Astyanax mexicanus: one gene and its partner. The protein of the gene in region 2 purifies or fractionates together with the protein of the main gene of each other region. This does not show direct contact. Links are inferred from orthologs where the notes say so. Each region holds a gene or a part of one and is shown on either strand. Other genes may lie near its edges.

The links.
Region 1: the proteins of ptpn18 (region 2) and pstpip2 purify together in Homo sapiens (affinity purification with mass spectrometry; 4 studies listed by BioGRID and IntAct, with this or other methods). This does not show direct contact. The link is inferred for Astyanax mexicanus from reciprocal best matches to the Homo sapiens genes PTPN18 and PSTPIP2.

Annotation. Positions count from the first base shown.
Region 1 is NC_064427.1:20,969,611-20,982,144, forward strand, and holds the start of pstpip2 (proline-serine-threonine phosphatase-interacting protein 2), read right to left. Parts: upstream 6,331-12,534; 5' UTR 6,249-6,330; coding exon 6,216-6,248; intron 4,749-6,215; exon of another isoform or gene 4,707-4,748; intron 2,017-4,706; coding exon 1,916-2,016; intron 1-1,915. Other genes in the region: sub1a (SUB1 regulator of transcription a), read right to left, coding at 8,496-8,575, 10,408-10,516, 11,523-11,645, 11,730-11,798. UniProt on the Homo sapiens protein: Binds to F-actin. May be involved in regulation of the actin cytoskeleton.
Region 2 is NC_064419.1:3,030,341-3,042,276, forward strand, and holds the start of ptpn18 (tyrosine-protein phosphatase non-receptor type 18), read left to right. Parts: upstream 1-6,502; 5' UTR 6,503-6,684; coding exon 6,685-6,777; intron 6,778-11,936. Other genes in the region: mon1ba (vacuolar fusion protein MON1 homolog B), read right to left, coding at 961-1,753, 3,813-4,170. UniProt on the Homo sapiens protein: Differentially dephosphorylate autophosphorylated tyrosine kinases which are known to be overexpressed in tumor tissues.

The DNA of each region.
Region 1 (12,534 bases), on a different chromosome or scaffold from region 2:
GTTTTTTTTTTGTTTTTTTTACTTATTTTTGAATGTATAGACTTTAAATATATTCACACCTAAGATATCTTTTAAAAATGGTTAGACTAGAGTGTTTATGAGTTGAAAGCATAAGAATATTGATGATAGTTAATTGCATGGCTTATTAATTATTACTTTGACAAAATACATGGAGAAACAGCATCAGGCGGAGTTATTCTTCTTGATAATCACACCTCTAGGATACATATAGATACTAAAAACCTGACACTCAGAGCAGCCTGTGCCTTTCAGTATTTTTTTTTTTTTTTTTTTTTTTTTTTTTTTTTTTCTTCTTTATTTAACCAGGCAGATCATTAAGAACAAGTTCTTATTTACAGTGATGGCCTGACATAAAACACAAATAAGTAACACTTAAAAAAAAAACAACAAACAAAAACATAAAAACAGGATAAGAAAAAACATTAAAAACCATTAAATCAGCAGGCATCCTCAGCATTTTGAGGATCAGGACACACAAAGAAAACTACTGTATATACAAAAATGTAAACTTTTTAGTCCAAATAAATAAAAATGATTAGTGCAAAATAACTACTTAGTAAAATAAAAGCTATATAAAGTAGTGTCACATCTAGCTTTAGTTTGGGTAAAGCAGGTAGTTTCACACTTTTTCTGTGGGACACTTTTGAGTCTTTATTTACTGATATTATTTGGTTTGAAACATCATATAAATATGTTTGAAGCACTAAAGGTAAATAATATTGGTTGGGGGACGGAGATCTCACTTTTTTAAATGTTTTTCTCAATGGGTTTCTTGTAGATACTTTACCGCACTGCATCACTATTTTTAAAAAGATTAATTCCACCCTTTCTAACCATATATGGATTATGTTTAAGTGTGAAGAGATTCCTGAGTAATTAAGCTGAGAACACAAGGTGCGATTTTGGACGGAAAATACGTCTGCAGGGTTCTAAAGGTTAAGAATAGGATGTCACTCAAGTTCATATGCATGCAAAGGCATTCGAGCGAATATTTTTGGCAGTTTTATCTACATAGTCTACGTAATTTTGGCTACTCTTGCTGTTTGTTGTGACACCAGAGGAAACAATACCTAAAATAATTTATAGGTGAGAAAGAGGACATCCTGTGCTAAGACTGGCCATTTGAATATGCTTTTTTTCTCTTTAAAGACGAGCGAGAGATGACTGTATTTCCCTAAAAGCGCTTTCTGAAAGTGCTGGGGTGCAGAACTGAGCCAACTTAAAGGTCATCACGTTTATAATACAGTTAAAAATTAGTTTTAAACAGGAACACTCCGCAAATTCGACTTTTAATTCCTCCAAACTCACTCTAAAATAAGTCACATAATTAAGACTAAGGTTCTCAATGTTCTCCATACCAGGTTCAAAAATGTTTCACATCTACCTTGTTTAGTCCAAACCAAAATAGCAGATGTGAAAGGTGCTGCAAACCACAGCCCAGATAAAAAAATCGCATTTTCAACTTCTAATTAGAGTTATTCGTAGTCTGGATATTTCCTGTTATAGCTGAATTCACACTTTTAATCCCAGAAAAACGCACTTTTTTACCTTTTAAAAAGCCATTTAAATGGCTGATTAAAGGGCTGATTACTGTTGTTTTGCTCTTTTTCTCAGGTTTTGAGTGCTCAGCGCAGATTTTTCCCTATACTGTGCAGCCCTAATTATGTATCTACTGTAACTGTAGATTAGTGAATTTTTCGCACTATGCGGTGAACCAGATTATAAGGTACACTATCAATAAACGTCTATTTTCTGGTCTATTTTTATGCATACAATTTACTAATATAATTCATAATAATTAGCCCTGATTTAGTAAACCTTTGGAACTGCAGTGGTAAATGCTCATTTTTTACATGATTATTGATTGATGACTATTAATGATGCTGGTTCTCACCTGGCTTTCATGAAGTCCTCGATCTCTTTGCACGTCTTTTTCCCATCGTTCAGGTGCTGGATGATGGCGTCGTATCCTGCTGTGCTGGTGATTTCACTGCTCTGTCCACATAAGGAAGAAAATAAAGATATTTTTAGTGAACTTTGGACTCAAACTCCTTTTACAAACACGGCAGATCATTAATAATCAATACATCAGCACATACTGCCATACTGACACACCATTAAAGGGTCCTTAGCCTATATTTTTTTCTCAATTGTATGTATTTTATACCACAAGGTCCACTTTTAACACATTTTCTAATGTGTTTTACGAACTAAAAATATTTTAAATCATAGATTTAAAGAGCCAATATCCTAAATGTCCTAGGTGTTGGTGTTTTTATGGGTTTATAAACTAAAAAAACACTCATTTATCCTTTGTGAAACAGTCCTTGTAACTTCAGTTAAGTGGGCGGAGCTAAATTGTATGGGTAAGAGTAAGGGCCCTATGAGTAACCCAAGACCAGCCTCCCAATATGTTAAAATTGGAAGAGATCAAAATACTCCAAACCACAGATAAGATTATAATTTTAAAAACATATTTTACATCACTGATAAAATCTAATATAACATCATTAACAGTTTGTAGCATTAGACTAGCATTTGGCTATAAAATGCACAGAACGTGATTATTCGGCTTCTTATTCTGGCTACTGCACTTGCGCATATCTCCTCACTGAGGAGGTGCTTACTAGCATACAGACTGATCTCCAGTCGCAGAGTAAGCAGCAAGCAGATTGGCTCTTTTTGTTGAAAGGCGGGACTTTATCCTTGGGTTAAGCCATACGAGAACTCCTAGTAATATTTCAGCCAGTGGTTGGTCCTTTAATTCATTTTATGCATTGGTCCTTTAATTGCTTTTGCTCTTGCTTTCCTGGAGCAGTCCTGATGAGTGCCAGTTTCATCATTATAACATTTTTCATGATCTTTGTGGCAACTGCACTTGAAGATACTTTCTAAGTTAAAATTTGACATGTTTTTGGATTGACTGACCTTACAGGAACTCCTTGTAATATATTTTAACCAGTGGTTACTTATATAATTCATGTTGCCTTTACAGCTCACTCACAAGATAACTCCACACAACGTATATACAAAACATGTGCTGAAACACTCCTTACAACTTAAGCATCATATAACAGCATTAGTGAGTAGGTACGTGAGGCTAAACTGAGTATGTGGATACAGTTATTACACTGTTTTTTGGGTTTTTGTTGCCTTATAAAAAATATGCATTAAAGTTTAAAAAATATCCATACATCCATATGAATTGAGCATATTTTTTAAACAACATTACACTCATTAATGTTTAGACAAAGCAAGGAATTTTGCTTTTAATAGGCCCTTACTAAGTAAATAATTCACAATATCCTCCCAGACACAGCGGCCCGCTAGATTAGGTGTTAAATTACTACAGCGCTGTGGAAATAGCCACTGTACAGCAGTCTAAACACTACAGTTTAGCCAAGTTCTCCTACTCCAGCCTGTAGGTTTGGCTATCATTATCCACAGCAGCTTCTAGCAGCGCTGTAATTCATGCCTGCAGCCAGACACATAATCACAGGCCTGCAGCCACAGCCAGCATTAGCCATGTGTCAAAATAAAGGTTTAGACAGACTAATAGCACTTTCCAAAACATTAGAAAGCAACATAATGAAGCCTGGACTGTCTGAGCTTTAGACCAAACTTAACTCCACTGACTTGCACTTTTAATAAAAAAATGTTTAAGGAATTTTAATATTATTATAGTTACTAATAATCAATTTCAGATCTTCTCACAGGTCATGTGAGCTGTTAATTTGTTGTTAAGAATAGTATTTAATTCCAAGATACATTAAATAGTTTGACAGTTAGTTCATTAGTTAATTAAGCTTTTTATTATAGATTATAACGGTAAAACTGGAACTAATTAGTTAGTAGTTGTATCTAAACTAGTAGTAGTATCTAAACTACCTGTTATGATAATTCATTTCTGATCTTCTCACAGGTCATGTCAGCTGATAATTTGCTGTTAAGAATAGTATTCAATTACAAGATACATTTATTAGTTAGACAGTCAGTTAATTAGTTAATTAAGGTATTTTTAATAGATTCTAATGGTGGAACTGGCACTAATTAGTTAGCTAGCTAAGTTATCCGTTACTAATAATCCATTTGAAGTTCCTCCAAGAAGTCAATTCATTCAAAGAACAAGAACAACTTACAAGATTGTTTAGAAACGTTTTGAAAAGGTTTCAAGACAAATAAACTGTAAAAATACAGAGATAATGTTCCAAAAAATGTTCTAAATGCTTGACATAATAATAGTAATCCCAGCTGGTCGAATGCTAACTTTAAGGAAACGTTAAAAGTAAAAACGTTAAAAGTGATGTTACCAGAACATTTAAACACATAAAAAATCTAAGAACATCCAGAAAACTTGACAGATTTACTATAACATTCTAAGAATGTTAGCTAACTGCATTGTTCAGAAAACGTTCTACTGACCAACAATTAATAGCTTACATACATACATTAATTAGTTAGAAAGTTAATTACACTGTTTGTTATAGATTTTAACGGTGGAACTGGCACTAATAAGTTAGGCTAGCATGTCCTAAAATAAGCTAAGCTAACCGTCTTGAAGGATTTTTTTTTAGCCAACAATGATATTTTACTGGGACATGAAGGACCTAAACTTAAGCCTAAACTTTACATGTTTAAACTACTGTAAGTATGGAGACAATATGAGAAATATTACATAAAATTACTGTAAATTATTGTCAATTACTGCTAAACAAGCAGCAGCAAGTGTCTTCAGTCCTTTGAAAATAGAATAAAACAGTATAAATATTATTTGTGATGTCACTGATGTCAAAGGTTAGTTTCTTAAAGGGGCAGGGTTATTCCTACACTGTAAAAAAAAAACTGTAGTTTTTACAGGAAAACGCTGGCAGCTGTGGTTACCAGAGTTTTCCTGTTAAAATTACAGACGATAAGTAAATAACTCTACTGAAAAAAAATGTAAATTAATTTACAGTGATTGAAATCACTGCTAAATTACAATAATAATCTGTCAAGTTTACACAAATTAAATGTTAATTTTGCATAGCAGTGTTCTACATAAAAATACCCTTTCCTGTATTTTTTACCTCTAACAAATGTCTGATGACAGGATGGACAGAGAATTCTTGGACATAGAGGCGTAAATAGCTTGATGTTTTTGAGATCAGAGCTAAATGAATAATAATTGAAACGCCAAAATTCAATGATCTTAAAAGTGAAAGTTATTATTATTCCTCTATATGTGTAAAAACAATGTTTTAGTTTCTGATGCTGGTAACTCTGATAAATTTATCCTGTGCAACAGAGGGAACTCTTGCTCTTGCTTTCCTGGGGTGGTCCCCATTATTATTATCATTATAAGTATTTTTATGGTCTTTGCTGGAACTGCACAAAATTTGAAACGTTTTGGCTTTGAAATTGACTAACTTCTTTCTTAATTCTTTAATTATTTCTTTAATTCTGCTTCTCATAATCTGGATTAGAACATTACTCAAATAGAGCTATTCACTGTATACCTGTAACTCCACCTCTTCACAACTTTACAACTGATGCTCTCAAACACTTTATTAAGAGACAAGAAATTCAAGGAATTATCTCTTGATGAGTTCAGCACAGCTGTTAACTGAAAGCCTGAATTCCAGTTGACTCTACCTCATAAAACTGACTGAGAAAATCCAGCAGAGATGTGCAAAACTGTCTCTATCTAAGCAAGAGGTGCTACTTTTTGAAGAATGTAAAATATTCAACATATTCTGGTTTGGTTACCACTTTTTAATTTGTATACTAATTAATTTCATATGTTTTTTTCAATAGTTTGAAAGCAGAACATTTTTAAATAATAAAAAAATAATAACTGGTTTCATATATACATTAAAAAACAACCACCTCTTTTGTGAAATAAGATTATGACAGTTGGTTTGAGGAAAGCGACCACAAAAAGGTTTTGCTGTTATGTATAGGGAGGAAGTTCCCTTGAAAAACAGCTCTATACTGTGAAAAGCAGAAAAAACTGTAGATAAAAGTTCTCAGATTATAATAAAGTGGATATATCTATTACTAATTAAGTATATATAAGTATTTTAATAATATGCCGAGGTTCCTCTAAGATACAGGCAGCCTGTTTAACTAGTTTACAGCACTGTATGTTGATTATATTAAATAATAAAGAGGTTGTAAGCAGTAAATAGTGAGTAAATGGTGGATAAAGTTCTTACCCAGAAGTTGTCTTTAAAGTGAAGGTCTCTCATGGTGCTGGAGCCGGTAGATGTGAGCTGTGTGAGAGGCTGGAGCAGACTGCTGGACTGACTACTGCTGCTCCTGCTGCTACTGTTACACGTTATACAGAAGTTAATGTGGCCTCAGGTGGCGCTGTTTCTCACTTCTGACTGTACGCTGCTGCACCTTTCCACCACCTGCTGGCTGAAGTCTGCCAATGCAGCTCATACTAAGGGTGTGTCTCAAACTGAGGCCTAGTGCCCTACCTAGTGCACTTCAGTCTGGGGCAATTTTTTCCCAAGTGTGGCCATATGATAATCTGGAACTGTTTTGGAGGAAAGACCAAAAGATAGATCTCAATTTGGCATATTTTTTTTTTGCACACAGCCTGGCTTAAAAAAAATTGTCACCAAAAAAAAAGTCACACACTCTAGTACAGGGGTGTCGAAACTACGGCCCGCGGGCCATTTGCGGCCCGTTTCCTTTTTTGGAGCGGCCCGAGAGGTATTTTAGAAATAGAATGAAAGTTGGCCCGCTGTTAAGCAGGTTTTTATAATGTGAGATTCAAAGTTTGAACGCTAGGTGTCAGAAATGGGCCAAAGAGTCTAAAAGCGGAGAGAGTGCACATTTCTAGCGCAGAAAAACGGGGCAAAGAGTCTAAAAGCGGAGAGGGAGCGCATTTCTAGCGCAGAAAAACGGGCCAAAGAGTCTAAAAGCGGAGAGGGTGCGCATTTCTAGCGCAGAAAAACGGGCCAAAGAGTCTAAAAGCGGCCCCCTCTGGCCCCCCAAAAAAAAGTTTGGACACCCCTGGTCTAGTATTTGGTTGGAGTGCCTTTAAGCTTTGATTGCTGCACACATTTACTGTGGGCAGGGGCGGATTTGGAAGTTCTGGGGCCCTAAGCAATGTTTTTTTTTTTTTTCCGGGACCCTGATCAAATGGATTCTTTTGTATAGCAAAATACAATATTCATGGTTCATACACCCTTTACAATGTAAAATTTAAGCATTTTCAAGGCCCATTTTAAGTTTTTCCAGCACCTTTCAGCTGTGGTAAATTAATGATAACAGCGATATCTCAAAACTGCGATTCAGCGATAATAAATATATCACAAAACTATTCCCCACCCTTCACAGTGACTATGCCACTGAGAAACAAGATACTTCTAAGTAAGTAAATAGCAGGAATTATGGATTTACTGGTGTCAGTTCCCCACAATTTAAATACCAATGAGCATTTATACATACATATACTCAAAATTATTGATTTGCTTTTTGTCACACTGCAAGAGATGGTATTATGTTTACAGTCATATGAAAAAGTTTGGGCACCCCTATTAATCTTAATCATTTTTAGTTGTAAAAATTTGGGTGTTTGCAACAGCCATTTCAGTTTGATATATCTAATAACTGATGGACACAGTAATATTTCAGGATTAAAATGAAGTTTATTGTACTAACAGAAAATGTGCAATATGCATTAAACCAAAATTTGACCGGTGCAAAAGTATGGGCACCCTTATCATTTTATTGGTTTGAATACTCCTAACTACTTTTTACTGACTTACTGAAGCACAAAATTGGTTTGGTAACCTCATTGAGTTTTTAACTTCATAGCCAGGTGTATCCAATCATGAGAAAAGGTATTTAAGGTGACCAATTGCAAGTTGTTCTCCTATTTGAATCTCCTCTGAAGAGTGGCATCATGGGCTCATCAAAACAACTCTCAAATGATCTAAAAACAAAGATTGTTCAACATAGTTGTTCAGGGGAAGGATACAAAAAGCTGTCTCAGAGATTTAACCTGTCAGTTTCCACTGTGAGGAACATAGTAAGGAAATGGAATTATTAGTAGTTTCTTAAAATAGTATAATTTAAAAAAACTACCTGAAGAAAGTGTGAAGGGAACAAAGATTGATTTGGGACACACCCAAAACTTTCCCTTACTCTAATTCAGTAAGTACACAAACACTGAAGCACTGGTGATTATTTTTAACTTTCCATCAACTTTATTGTAAAAAGTGAACACAGGCTATTCCCCCCACCCCCACCCCCCACAAACACACTCATCCACAAAATCATTACGGAGTTATGAGGACCGCGGTCAGTAGAAAAGAAAAGGAACAGTAAACTCAACACAGCGATCGGCCTAATCTAAAACACAGGTACAGATCAGTTCTAGAACTCTCCATGGATTATTATTAATCTGTTTTATATAAAACGTGGGTAAAGCGCGGAGCGGGAATGAATAGATCAGACAGCGGCGTCGGCTCCCGGAGTGTTTATGTTCTCCTCACGGCTTCATCGATATCATCAATCTGCTCCTTCAGCTGATTCCACTGCTCTGGGTTCAGGGAAATACCTGAGAACAGACAGACACACAGACAGATCCAACAAATTACTATAATACTGGGACAGCTGCTCGATCACTAGTACTTCTGAAATCAAAGGGTATTAAAAAGAGTTTATCCTGCATTTGTTGGGAAACTCTAGAGAAACTCTAATACAGGGTTTTTAAACTGGTCTTAGTCCAGGACCCATATTTTCTTATAATTATTACAGAATTTAAACAAACATATGCATGCAAAGTGAATTTAAGAGCATTTTTAGGAAATGAAGGAACATGAAAACTACATGTATAAAAGATCAAATAAAATTAAATATCAAAACTGCACAAAATTCCCCAATATAAAAGACGAGTACAAAATCTGATGAGCATTAAATGTTTAGCATTTTTAATGTTTTTTTTAATGCATTTATTTTGGTACCACTTTAAAATAAGACTACCTTTATAAAGGGTGTATAAATGGTTTACAATTAATTTATTAATGGTTACTAATTAGGTTGTAAATACCTTAAAAATCATTATTAATCAGTTATAACACATACGTAGAAAGGGCAACATTGAAGATGGCTGTGGGTTCACTTTTTGGCAAACAACAGGTCATTGTTGCCCTTTCTACGTATATGTGTTATAACTGATTATTAAGGATTTTTAAGGCATTTGCAACCTAATTAGTAAATATTAATAAACTAATTCTAAACCATTTATAAACCCTATAAAGGTAGTCTTATTTTAAAGTGGTACCCTTATTTTTTAAATGCTTTTGGACAACAGGATAAGACTCACTTCAGGGTCTCTTACAGACCTGTTTGACCACCAGAGGTCGCTCTTGGGTAAGTCTAAAAATAAATGGGTTCATATGGCACAATGGAGCAACATTTTTACAGTTTATAAATGTTTAATAATTTTAAACTAAAATATTGTACTCATCCCTCAACACAGAACAAAATAAAAGGTTTCTAAAATTCTTAAAGCTTTAAAACTCCTAGTAATAAAGCTTTTAAAATCCGTGCTCTGATTGTAACTCCAGCATCAGCTCACCAACCAGCCAATCAGCTCACAGTAGCAGTAGTACAGTGTCTTTAGTGCTTAAAGGCCAATTTATACATCTGAACAGCCCACACATTCTAGTCTTCGTGGTTTAAACTGAGGAAGCAGACAGCTACGTAGGGCGCTCACACAGGCTACACCTTAGGCAGCAAGTTAACTTAGTGATGAAGAATAAATTGGCCTTACTGAAGAAAAACTTACACATAAATACTTACATACAGTTAAGTTTTTTAGGCTTTTTTTATTAATTATTTCTACTTTTCTAGGTTATTTATACTTTCAAATTGTCCTCCAATTTAGCTAGGTCAATTTTCCCACCATTCAGCTGCTATTCAGCTGTATCTACCCATTAATAGTGATGCCACAACACCAGGAGGGTGAACACATGTGAAGTCAGACTCCGCCTCTTTTTAAACTGCTGCTTATTTCAGCATTACCGAGTAGCATCATCACAGCGCTAATGCTCTGAGGAAAGCGCAGCGACTCAGTTCTGATACATCAGCTCACAGACGCTTGTGCTTTGTGCTGATCCACATCACCCTAGGAGTGATGAGGAGAAAGAGCTCCATCTACTATGCCCACCAAGAGAGAGAGCAAGAACAATTGTGCTCTCTCAAGGATCCAGCAGCTTATGGCAAGTTGCATGACTGGGATTCAAACCGGCGATCTCCCGATCATAATGGCAGCGCTTTAGACCGCTAGACCACTTTAGGCTATTTTAAGCAAAATACTTAATTCTCCTTTCCAAATAAAAGAAACATCCTCGACAGGTGGTTAGTAAAGAGTAACAGGTCAGATACCTTTCCTCCCCGGCTTCATTTCTCCTTCCTGATCCATCCAGTACTCACGGATATCAATCAGCACCTTCCCTTTGAAGTCTCGGACACTCACGTATCTCATCTTCCCTATCTTAGAGAAAATAGACAAGTGTGACAGGACCAGTTTTATATTTTAGCTGTTAATGATGATGATGATAATAATAACTAAGGAATATTCATTATTTCTGATTCGAACTTCATTAAAAGAAGCAGAGAAACTGTGTAAAAATTAGGGACTATAAACTCTGTATTGTTTTATTCTGTTTTTTTTTTTATTCTTAATATATTTTTTGTTTTATTTATTTATTTATTTTCTGTTTAAATTTAATTATTTAAATATATGGGGGGTCTCTGTCATCACCTATGATTATACAGTACCAGTTAAACATTTGGGCACTGCTTAATTTACTTTTAATTTTTTGCATTGCAAATTAATACTAAAGTCATCCAAACTATAAAGAAAAACATATACATTTTTTTATTAAAGCAAAAAAGTGTTAAATAAACCAGAATATGTTTTATATTTTACATTCTTTACATCTCTGCATTTTCTCAGTCAGCTTTATGCATCAGTTGTAAAGTTGTGAAGAGGCACAGTTAGTATACAGTGAATAGCTCTATTTAAGTAATGTTCTAAACATTTTAAGAACTTTAAAAGTGTTCTTAAGTACAGTCGCAGAGACCATCAAAAACGTTATAAGGATGAAACTGGCACTCATCAAGACCGCCCCTGGAAAGTAAGAGCAGGAAGTACCTCTGTTGTACAGGATAAGTTCATTAGAGTTACCAGCAAATTAACAGCTCCCCAGATAGTAGTATGGATGACTTTACTATTCATTTACTATGTAGGAAGAACAATAAAAAAAATTTAATAAGAAGATGTGTCCAAACTTTTGACTGACACTGTGTATCTAGTTTAATTTTGTTTAATTTTGCCTGAATCGAATCAGAAAATATCTATACTCTATTAGTCAAATTTAAACAAATAAAACAATTAAAATAAACAATTAAATAAGTAATCATTTAATTGTTTGACAGCTCTAGTAATTACAATTACAATATAACAGTAATGTAATGCAGTAATGAAGACTCCTGACCTGGAACATGTTGTCGTTTTTGCTGCCGCCGCTGCTTTTGGAGGAGCCGGAGGTTTTGGAGGACTCTCCACTCTTCTGCTTCTTGGAGGATTTCTCCGGCGTCGCCTGCCTCTTCCTCTTAGCCTGAAACCGATAAAACGAACAAACAACCAATCAGAAGTGATCAGATTATTGATCCACTGATGCTACAGATCATCAGCGACGTACCTTCGTATCGGCTTCACTGTCCGAGTCGCTGTTGGAGGAGGAGGACAGCACTTCCTTTGATTTAGGCATTTTCTGGAGAGACAAGATAATATAAACATCACTGTAAAACACTGTCAACCTGCTACATCCTCTCATCATCACCTACGTAGGGGCGGAGTCTCTTTATCCTTCACACTGATTGGTTTGTGAAACAAAGGTGTGCATCAGATTCTCTCTAAAACTTTACCAACCGAAAGACTTTACCATATACCAATGCACTGTTTGAAATGTAGTTATATAAGAGTTATTATAGTTATATACTGTTATATAGAGTTAATTACATGTAGACACTCCCACTGACTTTAGAATGACTTTATGTTTATTTGAGTTTATTAATTCTAATGTTATATAGAGATAGTTACAGGTAGAAACTCTCACTGACTTTACAATGACTATAATGATGTTTATTTGGCTTTAGCTTTTTTCTAATGTTATATAGATGTTTATCACAGGTAGACACTCTCACTGACCACTGACTTTATGTTTATTTGAGTTGTGTACTGTAATGTTATATAGAATTAATTACACATAGACATTACATTAGATACTCTCACTGACTTTCCACTGACTTTATGTTTATTTGGGTTAATAGATTCTAATGTTACATAGAGTTAATTAAAAGTAGACACTCTTACTGACTTCCCAATTACTTTATGTTTATTTGAGTTTAAATAATCTAATGTTATATAGAATTAATTACACATAGACACTCTCACTGACTTTCCACTGACTTTATGTGTATTTAGGTTTAGTATTATAATGTCAT
Region 2 (11,936 bases):
AATTTGCAGCAAATGAAACACTCAGTCACAGGAGTCACTAAATATTTACAGTTGCTTAAATACATCATCTGCTAACAAATGAAAAAACTCAATCATTCTCATATTTTTCAGACTATCAAACACATTGTAATATGAGACAAAGACAACCTAAGCAAATATAGAGACAGTTTTTAAATTATAATTCCATTTATTTATTAAGGGAAAAATCTATTTAAACCAATCTGGCCCTATGTGTAAAAGTATTTGCCCCCTAAACCTAATAATTTGCTAGTGTGCTTTGGGTCATTGTCCTGCTGCTGAACCCAAGTATGCCTGAGCTTAAGGTCAGAAACTAATGAACATTCTCCTTCTGGACATTTAAATGCCTTTTAAATCTCATGTCTAGCTGTTTTTCTGATGTTTTTAGAGATGGAGAACATGTCATAAATAATTGTTGACTAATTGACTAGCCGGAAAAATTATTTTCATATTAGTCAACTATCAAAATAATCATTAGTTGCAGCTCTAATACAGAGCAGAATTTATGGTTGCATAAATTAATGTAAGTTGTCCAGGTCCCAGACTTTCATATTACCACCACCATGTTTGACTTTCAGTACAATGGTCTTTTTCTCAGGTAATCTCTGTGTGATATTAAAGTCTAATTGTTAATCTAGACTAGGACTAGGACTAGGACCTTCCTAGCAGTGACCGGCCTACTGAAATGACTCCAAAAGGGCAGGGATAACTCATCCAGGAGGTCCAGGAGGGTAAAGAACTGCAGGTCTCACCTGCCTCAGTTAAGGTGAATGATTTTTGATTACAGACTGTAGTCCTGTATCTGTTTCTCTACATTCTTTATTATTATCCTTCTTTCTAATGTGCTGGTACAAGTGGATCAGCCACAGCAGTGCTGCTGGAGTTTTTAAACATCTCAGCGTCACTTATAGACCGAAACTCACATATATCTCACTTGTTCACCTGGTGAATTGCGGCAGCTGGCCATAGTGATCTGGAACGTCAAAGGGCATGTACAGGAAGTGTCTCAGCTCAGCCACGCCAACATGGCGAACCTGACATGGTTGAGCTTTGGAGATAGACTGCAGAACATTGTTGTTTCTAACCCCCTCTTCGATCTTCCGCTTGCACTCCGCCACGGCGTAGAAAGCCTCCTTATCGGTGGACAGAAGCACGAGGCAGACGCTACACTCTGGAGGGTCCAGGTAGGCGACGTAAGTGTAGAAGTAGCAGTCTGGATTAAAACGAGGAAGGCAGACCGGGGTCCAAATTTCACCCGTCTGGAAGGACGTGGAAGCTCGAATGAGGTTCAGAAGCAGGTGCAGATCACTCGGCTTCAGCCTGGCGTCTTCTATGACCATTTTCTCCTGGACAATGGAGAGGAGCTGACCCTTAGTGACCAGGAGAGACAGGACAAGATTAGGAGTGACTGCTTTCTGCAGGACCTGGTTGAGAACGTCTCTGGAAGACGAAGCCAAAGGCAGGCACTGCACAGCCGAGAGCAGGAAACCAGCCTCAGACTCCATTACATCCAGGAGACCATCTATAACCTTCTCCGAGCCGAACAGCAGCCGGCGGAGGTCGTAGTTCTTCCTGCGCTGGAAAATGCGATTGATGCTGGCCTGGGTGAGCATGCTGACGATCTGATGGTAAACATGCAGGAGCTCAGAGCGAAGCTGCAGCTCAGACTGTCGACTCTTTGATGCGGAAACCAGAACCAGAGGTCCTTTCTGCATAAAGACAATCGTGTGCCCATCTGAAAGAGAGTGATACAAAATCTAGTAACACTTTATTCAGGTGCCTGAATAGAGGCTTTATAATCAATTTATGAGCATTAAATAATGTATTTAGAAATAATAATTTGAATATTTAAATATATTTTATATTTATGAACAGTTTTTACCATCACAATATGACATTGTTGTCAGTACAAGACGAGTTTTTTATTGTTTTTCTTTTCCTTGGCTGGTAACTCTTGAACTTATAAATGAACTTATTCTGTGCAACAGAGGTAACTTTTGGTCTTCCTTTCTTGGAGCGGTCCTGATGAGAGCCAGTTTCATCACAAAGTATTTGATGACTGTCTTTAGGACTGCACTTGAGGAAAATTTAGGATCATTTTTTTCTGAATTTTGCCTGATAACATTCATAGTTAAGTCCCATATTTTTCAGACTATAACACGCACCTTAAAGTCCTTTAAGTCTTTACATTTTCTCCAAAATCATCAATGTGCCTTATTTATAAATTCTACCAGTCAGGTTTTAATTAAGGCGCAGTAAAGCCACTCTACTGAAGTACAGCGTTACTTGGGTAAATTTTCAGTGAAGTTTCTCCAGCACTAAGGCTGAGAGCACCCTGCATTAGCATTAGCCGCTAACCGCAGCAGTGCTAGATCTTTCACCGTCCAGAGGTGAGTATATTGGACTGTAGTCTGCATGTTTACCATGTTAAAACAAGCTACGTGGGACAAACCACTAGTTGATAGCACCCTGGGTTACCTGAACACTTAGGGTTCCTCAGCTTAGCACGGTCGGGTGGCATTCATGTCCCGCTAGCACTGTGGTTAGCGGCTAATGCTAATGCTAATGCTGCTGCACCCAGCCTTAGTGCTGGGGAAACTATTGGAAATCTAAGCTTACAGTAAAGAACAAGATTCTAACAAACTCTTTTTAATACCTATGAATTTAGAAGAAACAGTGAATAAGTAGGTGTCCAATATTTGTTCATATAAATCTGGAGATATTGTAGGATAGGGAAATGAAGCAATTTGACAGAGACCTTCCTGGGAAAATGTAGCTGTGTGTGGGTGAACATTATCCTACTGATATCCTATTCTCGTGTATCACTACTAGGTGTTGACACGTTGTATACAATGTCACTCCAGATAAGGCGGGTTTAAATCACTCACCACAAGGCCAGATGTGGTGTTCAATTGTGTGCCTTTAGTTAAACATTAGGGTGACTTGAGTAATCATCTTAATGAGATTTGTTTATGTGGTTTCTACACAAGGCTTGCATCACTCTATATCTACATTAGCCTCATAGCTCATAGGGTAATAGGAACATATTGTGTAAATGTGCCACATTATTGCTTTGAATGACCACCAGTGGTCTACAGTTCATAATACCAGCTTCTTCTTTTATTCAATATTGTATTCTCCAGTGTCTTTTGGTTTTGCATTGGTGGAAAAGCATTGTATGTGCCTTAGCTACGATGCTACATTAGCGGAGTGGCTGGCGGGTTTTGTTATTCTAAACATACACACCTACCTATTTCAATTGTACTTGGCTGGTGGTGTTTTTTCCTCCATAGACAAATTCTAACCATTTGTTCCTTAGCTCTGCATTACTGGGTAAAGCATATAAACACTGATGTGTTATTCGCACAAATAACCCAGCAACAAACTGCCGAACTGCTGTTCTTAGCGCTGTTAGCTCCTATCTGACGAGGCAGTGCCTCTGCCTGGCTTCAGCTCTGTCTGTGGGCGGTCCCGAGCCAAGGTGGGTGTGGCCATGAATACTAATTAACATATTTTCAGAGTATTTTCTTTTCATGTGCAGCATCATATACAACTCAGAGAGACCTAATGTATTTCACAAAGAACCAGAAAAAGTGGATTTTAGAGTGGATTTTAGCTGAAGGACACCTTAAAAAAGGTGCAAAATATCGTAATATATTAAATTGTATCGCCAATAATACACAGTACTAGTACATACATTTTTTTTTGTATTTTCCATGCATCCTCAAACTTTTTTATGATTTGTGGTATATATAAAACATAAAAAGTTAATAACCCCTTTAATAACATCTCACCTGAGTAAATGGACTGAATGGTGTTTCCTCCAACCTGGACAAAAGACACCAGCGCCATCATGACCCCCATCACTGAAGACAGGGCCTCCTCGCTGCCATGGCGAGAGTAGATGGGCTTCCCTGCTTCGCTCAGCACAAACACATGCTTCCTGCGGCTCCTCCAGCCGTCCGTCATCACCTCCTCATTCTGACTGGTCTGGATTTGGGAAGCTGAGGAGCAGTCGCTCCCGAGACTTGAGGAACTCTCGCTCTGCTTCAGTTCCGTTCCAGATAAAAGCACTGTAAAATCACTAGATTCCTCCAGAGAGGTGTTTTCAGGTAGACCCCCATCAGTTCCCGCACTGTCTCTCTTCAACATGCTGTCCGATTCTCACTTCCCTCCAAACTTCTGCTTTTTTCTACTGTGGAAATGATGTCCCTCTTCCTAAGGAACACTTCTTCCATTGGTGACGGACAATGGATCCCTGTGAGGAGCGCTACAGGTTAATCAGGGATTCCAGGAGGGGTCAGATGTGTTTTATAGACCGTGAATAACGTCCACAGTGCTCAGAGTGCTGCTGGAGATAATAAGATCTATAGTGGTATGTCATCATCAAGGTTTCATCAAAGGCTCTTTTGAAGTTTAGAAACTAGCCCTTTTTATCTGGGTTATCTTAATACAGTATATTATAATCAAGTTTCTCCCATGATGTTATTATTATACTTTTATTATGTTTATATATATTTTACTGTCAGAAACTTTAGTGTTAAATCAGGACAAATATACACTATATTTAGATATGATGTTATACAATATTGTTCTTTTTTATGACACCGAATAAACTGACGCTGGAAAAAACACCATAGACACCTAAGCAACCACCCTAAAAACTGCTATTTAAGACCCTAGCGGCAACAGAACACCCATTCAACAATGCATTACTGACATACTACAGTAGCCCCTTATCAACCACCTGGAACACTGTTGCAACCACCCTGAAAACCACTAACTAAAACCTAGCGGCACCAGAACACCCATTCAGCAATGCATTAGGAACCACCTGACATAATAACACAGCATATTAGCAACCACCTGATCCCCCATTCTGCAACACCTTATCAACCACCTGACATATTGTTAAAACATATTAGTTACCACCTTAGCAGCCATTCTGCAACACTGCAACCTCAGTAACCACCTGAAATACTATAGCAACCGACAAAGCAACCACTGAGAATTAGTTTAGCTACAAAAGAGCATGCATACAGCAACACCCTAGCAACCACCTGGGACAGCAATAACAGTAAAAATGTTTCCAATAGACACATTAACAGTTATAATGCTTAGGTATAATATTTAATTTGTAGTAACTTTACTTTTAAAGTTATTACAGGTTATTAAATAATCATAATAGCTCAGAAAGCAAGAAAGATAATCTAAAAAAAATTGTACTCATGCTGATGATGATGATATGGTGCAGGCAGTCAGGAGACTCGTCCACAGTGTGTTTATTGTGAGTAGAAAGAATGTGCTCAGAACAGCAGTGAATGAAGAACTTCTTGACTGTTCACAATAAAAGTCCCTCCCTAATATTCCCAGCTCAATACTGGGGGGCTTTATACCCCACCTAAACCCCAATAGCTGAGAGCCTAAAGAATGGTCCGGTTTAATACATGCATAATAAAAACTGATATAAGACATAGATAAGATGATAAATAACATTTATCATTGCTATACATATTATTTTCTAAATCCTTGAATGCAAAATACGAAATATTGGATGTAAAATCCCATTATATATATCTTTCCAATTTAAAATGATGAAGAACTAGTTTTGGTATCATTTTTTAAATTTATTTACTTTTGCAAACAGAATCTCAGGGAAAAATTAAACTTTTCTTGATTTTCAATTTTTTGCATTTTGTTAAAAAAAAAAAAATTAGACTATACCATCAGGCATATGTTACATTAAAAATAAAAAGGTTTTTGGGAAAAATAAATGTTTTGTTCATTTTTGCTGAACCTGGCAACCTGGGCATGCTGAATCCCATAAAAATCTCTAAAAAAAAAAAAAAAAAAAAAAACTCTGCTTAAATTAATCCTCTCTTAATTTTCATATTTCTTCATTATTGCATCTTGTTAAAAAAGCAAATTGGATTTTACAATCATAGCAAATCAATATGCAAAATACAATATGCAAAAATGAAAAAAATCTGAAAATTAATATATATTAATGAAATAAAATTTTCCTGAAATTCTGTTTACAAAAGGCAACATTTTTTTAAATGATAAAATAAACTATTCGTTCTGAACATAAGAAAGTTGAGTGGTGTATGGTAATATATATATATATATATATATATATATATATATATATATATATTGTCTTTTCATTCTTCTTAAAAAGTAAATTGGATTATGCCATCGTAACAAATCAATATGCAAAAAAATTTCATTTTATATATTAAAAAAATAAAAAAATAACCATGAAAGATGGATAAAAAAATTTAATCACTATTTTAATTGATAAAAAAAACTATTTGTTCTAAAAATCAGAAAATCGAAAGATTTATGGTAAAATGTTTTGTTTCGTGCTGTCTTCTCATTCTGGAGAGCATTTACGCAAAATGTATATTTTTGATGGACCTGGCAACCTTGACTCGCGCTGATTCGCGCAGCTGTAGTGCACTAGTTAGTGCAGAAGTGCGCGTGTTGGAGCGCAGACCGGGTTTAATGAGAGCGTGAGAGAGGGATCAGTTCTGCTCGCGGTGGATCAGGTGCTTCGGTCTGAGCTGGAGATCATGACCCGGACCCGGGTCCGCTCAGCACGGCTCTGGACTCGGGTTTAACCCGATGAAGAGGATTTAAAGCGGAATATCGACCTGCGGAGCGATGGAAGATCACCTGCTGAAGTTCATCCAGCGGGTCAGGTTCCTGTCTGAGAGCGGCTGCGATGGGGACAATGAGATCACTGCTGAGTACACCGTGAGTACCACCTGAGTACACCCGCTAAACCTGCAGCTGGAAACTGGGATTAAATTCATATAATAAACTAGCTACTAATATAGAGATTATACTGAGAAGTTATTGAGAGATTTCACTAAACATACATTTATTATGTTTCATTCCCAGATAGCAAATATATATTGATCAGTTTGAGGCTACATTTAATTAAAATTAAAATTAAAAGTTGAGTGCAAAAGTTCAATACTTATTTTTAGGTATTTAAATATTTAAATTGTTGAGGAAAAAGTTGTACATCCATATATTTAGCAATTTTTAGTGTTTTCTTCTGCCTTTCTCAAACAGGATTTTATATAAAAATGTCAGATTTAATTTCATTTTTGCATATTGTAAAAAAAATGATAGTGAAATCCAATATACTTTTGTAAAAAAGATGAAAAAAATCAATTTTCCTAAAATCCTGTTTTTAAAGTGTATAAAATGTACACAAACATTTTGTTCATCATTATTTTTAAATGAAAAAAAACATATATACACTGGAAACCTACTGAACACATAAGCACTATGCGTTCATTTGAACTGCATAGGATTAAATTAATATTAATATATCTACCTATATAAAGATTATACTTAGTTACGTCATTGAGAAATTTCATTATACACTACTTCATTATGTCTTTTTGTTATATATAGTTGGAAAATGGGCTGTTACACCGTTTTAGTTACTTTTTTTGTAACTGAAGGGGAAAAAAAGCATTTTTAATGTAGCTAATATTGTTATTTGCTGCATTTGCATCATGTATTCATTTAGGCTATTTAAATAGTTTTAATAAATTTTTATTACTCTTAAATTGTGCAGTTGCATGATTATGCTCTTATAGTATTATTGTAAAGTGGACATGAAACATTTCAGTTTGTACAAGTTTTCTAAGGGATTGAATAAAATGGAATTTATTTTATTGAATGTAATTTTTTTTTTATAAAATGTTTACACACTAAATTAAATCATACTATATTTATGTTTGTTATGTTTGCGCTAGGGCTCCGCCATCTTGCCCGTGCAGCACTGGTGACGTCACGAGGTTGGTTGGTTGGTTGGTTGGTTGAAGAGTCCAGGTACATACAGTAGCTAGCGGTCAGGGTTAGGGAAAAGAGCTTGTTGTTTGTGGAGATTATGAATGAAGACAAAGCTGAACTAGGCTAACGTGGAGCATAGTTAGCGTTAGCTAGTTAGCTAACGTTAGTTACCTCTCGCTGCTCTGCTGGGTGAGCGCGTCGTTTGGCTCGTTTCTTGCGGCTCACAGCTGCTACTTTATAGTAAGGTTACCCTCAGTCAGGTGGTCTGTACATCCCAGCTGTTCAGAGGAAAAAAAATTAAAAATGGAGGTAAAAAGCCTCGGACTTTAGCTTATTTGTCTGGCGAATGACAAACTTCTGACTCAAAACCCTTTCCTCCACATAACAGTCCTCGTCTAGAAAGTGCTCGGAGTCGCTACTAACCCCTAGCATTGCTGCTAACCGGAGGATTCTTGCGCTTCAGGACCGCTAGGCGCCGTTAGCCACCGCCGAAAAACAGCTGTCCGCTTAAGAGACGAGATATGAAAGTGAAAGTGAATCTCTTTCTCACTCTTTAACCTATAACATTTTACTACAACAGAAGTGAGCTAAGTTCCCGAAGGCTAATAGTTTATGTTAGTGAGGCGTCCGAGAACCAACCTCGTGACGTCACTTTCAGCGCTGGGACAAGAGGGCACTACACTTACTTAAAAAATGAGATTTAGATTGCTTTTTATTTTAATTCAGCTTCATTGACAACTGTTAAACTTATACTATTTGTTAGAGTGAAAATACATCTTGTGAATTATATTAAATACTTGAAGTGTTTCATGTCCACATTAAATATAGCATTAAATGCTCATAAATTTACAATAATATAATTTTTGTGCAGTCTGTTGTGCAGTCTATTTCACACTGATTTACAATGATTGATATAACTTGAAACCCCTTGCACTTACACTGTAAGTTGTGTGTGAGGAAGCTGCTGTATGTGCTGTGTACTCAGGTAACACTTTTTGGTTCCCATTCTTGGTCTGGATTCAATTTCATTTTGTTCGGCTTTGTTGACATTGTATTTAAAACCAAAATCATCTATAGAAATAAAACTCAAGGTTCAGTGCTGGGAGATACTGGAGGAAGTAAGATGCTCCATTAGTATTTAAAATGGATGGATGGATGGATGGATGGATGGATGGATGGATGGATAATCGGCCACAATATTCTGTATATTTTAGTGGAAGAAAACACAGGTGCGCCACTGACTGATTAAAACACTGACACGAACACACACATACACGGACACACTGCAGAGCACAAACCGGACCCCTGTTTAACAATAAACAGTATAAAGAATAAAATAACATTGCTGTTCCCTTAAATGAGCTGCTGGCGTATTTTCCCAGGTCAGTATCTGTCTCTGCTGAGACGTGCAAAAACGTCGCACTGTTAAGATTTAACTTTCCCAATATCGTGCAGCCCTACCCTAGCCGAGTCTCAAATGTGCTCCACCAAACAGTTAAGCAGAAGTTGAAGTTAAAGCAGAATGCTTTCTAAGGTTTATAACCTAACTGTACGTCTTTATCTGAACTAAAGTTCAAAAGTAGGAAACTGCGACGTGAAAAAAACTCTTAGTCTAGTGAAAAAAAAAACATTAGCTGTGACTTTTACAGTCTTTTTCAGATCTTCTCCGGTGCGTTGACTGGGGGTAAATGAGGGTACAGCTTCATGTCCTGGTTCCTTATTGAGCCCATAAAAGAATCAGTCGATTATTAACTCAGGGTGATGCTCTGAGACAGACATTACTGTATTAAACTCTGTATGAAGAGAATGAAGGCAGTGCTGCTTAGTGTTGCACTGAGTAAACCATCACCTCAGAACATTTGAATATGTTAACACTGAGTCATGCCAAAAAAAAAGGCCTTCTTTTTTCACGTGAGAGGGACATTTGCATGCACACACAGATCAGAGTGAGAGGGTTATCCATTCATTGGCCTGAATGACTTCCTTTAAAGCTTTCTGACAGCTGTCCAAATATGAAAATAATTTGTCTAAAAATGCAAATGTTGTATTTGTTACCATTACTGTTGTATTTATTTATGTATTTTTCCTATACAGACAAAATTGTCGTCAGTTGTTTGGACTTTCTTGACTTTTTGGACTATATGCCCATCTATCTGTCTGTCTATCTGTCTGTCTATCTGTCTGTCTGTCTGCCTATCTATCTATCTATCTATCTATCTATCTGTCTGTCTGTCTGTCTGTCTGTCTGTCTGTCTGTCTGTCTGTCTGTCTGTCTGTCTGTCTGTCTGCCCTCTTGCAGCATTAACAGCAAGCTGATTGGCTCTGTGCTGAAAGGTGTGAGTAAGGGGTGGGCGATATGGCCCTAAAATAATATCACAATATTTCATAGTATTTTTTTCGTGATAATGATATTCTTGGCGATATGACAGAACAGTAAAAAAGTTAAAGAAAATTTTTCAAAGAAAAAAAAAATTAATTAAATTTTACTATTGTATTATTGCATACAATATGAAATAATATGGCACACCCCTAACTGAGATTAAAAAAAATACAAAACAATAATTTTATCAGATTTGTAACAGAAGTCCATAATACTAATAATATATCTCCATATATCCAGAATTAAAGTAAAATAAATGATACTGATGGGAAATGAAAACAGTGTGATTTTTTTTTTTTTTTGCTAAAAACAGTAGAAAAGTAGTAGTAGTACCCTGATGTGATGACTAGGGGTGGGTGATATGATGGGTGGCACGATATTTCAGGGTATAATATTGTTCACGATATTCAAAAATGTTGGGTCACAGGCACTCAGATTTGCCATTTCAAAAACGCTCAAAACGCTCAAAAGAGCTTTAAATTCGTCGCTTAACTCAAAAATTGACAGAATAAAGAATAAAACAACATTGCTGTTCCCTTAAATGAGCTGCTGAAGGTCAGTATCCTCTGCTGAGACGCACAAAAGCGCCATTAAAAATCACATAAAATGTGATTGTGACGTCCCTATCTAGCGCTATGATAAATTATTGTAAAAGTAAATGAGCTAATGCACTATTTTTGCATGTGTTATTGCTAAACTCTAAAGGAAGGTGTTAATTTCAGGCACGTGAGTCTCCTCACTCATGCTTTTAATCTGAATCTATTGTGGTTTTGTGGTGATTAAGGGCTGCATCTGCTGCGCACTGTTTAAAGAATGCACTGGTTAATGTTCACCACAGCTCAAACAGACCCACGGCTCCGTCCCTTTATACTGTGTTTAAGCCACGTTCAGACGACATCTGGCCCAGTTTCTGCCTGCCTACAGGAAGTGCCTGCGCCACCGGTGAGCGTTAAACAAGCTTCCACAACCTCTGAGGTAACACACGGCCAGCAACTCGCAATCCAGGCTAAAACTGAAAGCGGCGCCGCTGCACTGAGTGCTGCTGATCTCTTCTCCTTTTGCAGCAAGGAAGTAAGAACAGCACTGCGGCTTTCATTGTGACACATACAGAGCCAGCAAATCCTCTACATGCTACGGCTTTAGTGTAGCACCGCTTAGCATCGCATCTCTATGGCCACGCTGTGAAAACAGATTGATGCACTGAATCTGATTAAAGGAGAACCCCGGTGTAAAATATGGTGTTTTAAAACATGTTAAAAAGTAGCGTTCTGAGATCCAGAAATTTTAATTGTCCAAAACACCCTTCAGACTGGGTGAAATGGGGCATAATGTACCCTGATAAATCACTTTTTCCACTGTTATCCAGCTCTAAGTAACTCCCCACTTCCTTGCTAGAATCCGGAGAGGAATGACATTTAAAACGAGGCATTAATAATTTTAAAAGTGCTCAAGAAGCTTATTAAAAACACTGTTTACATCCTATAACACTATAGCTTCAGCTCTGAGCGCCGCCATCTTTGTATTGATGATAATGTTATAGACGTTAAAGGAGAACTCCGGTGTAAAATTGACTTTTGGTGTAACTTAATAAAACATGATAAATACTCAATACTCACCTTTGATTAAATAGCACACCTCCGCTCTCCCACAGCGTTCAGAGATCCAGAAATTTTAACAGTTTGTACAAACACCCTTCAGACTGGGTGATACGGAGCATAATTTA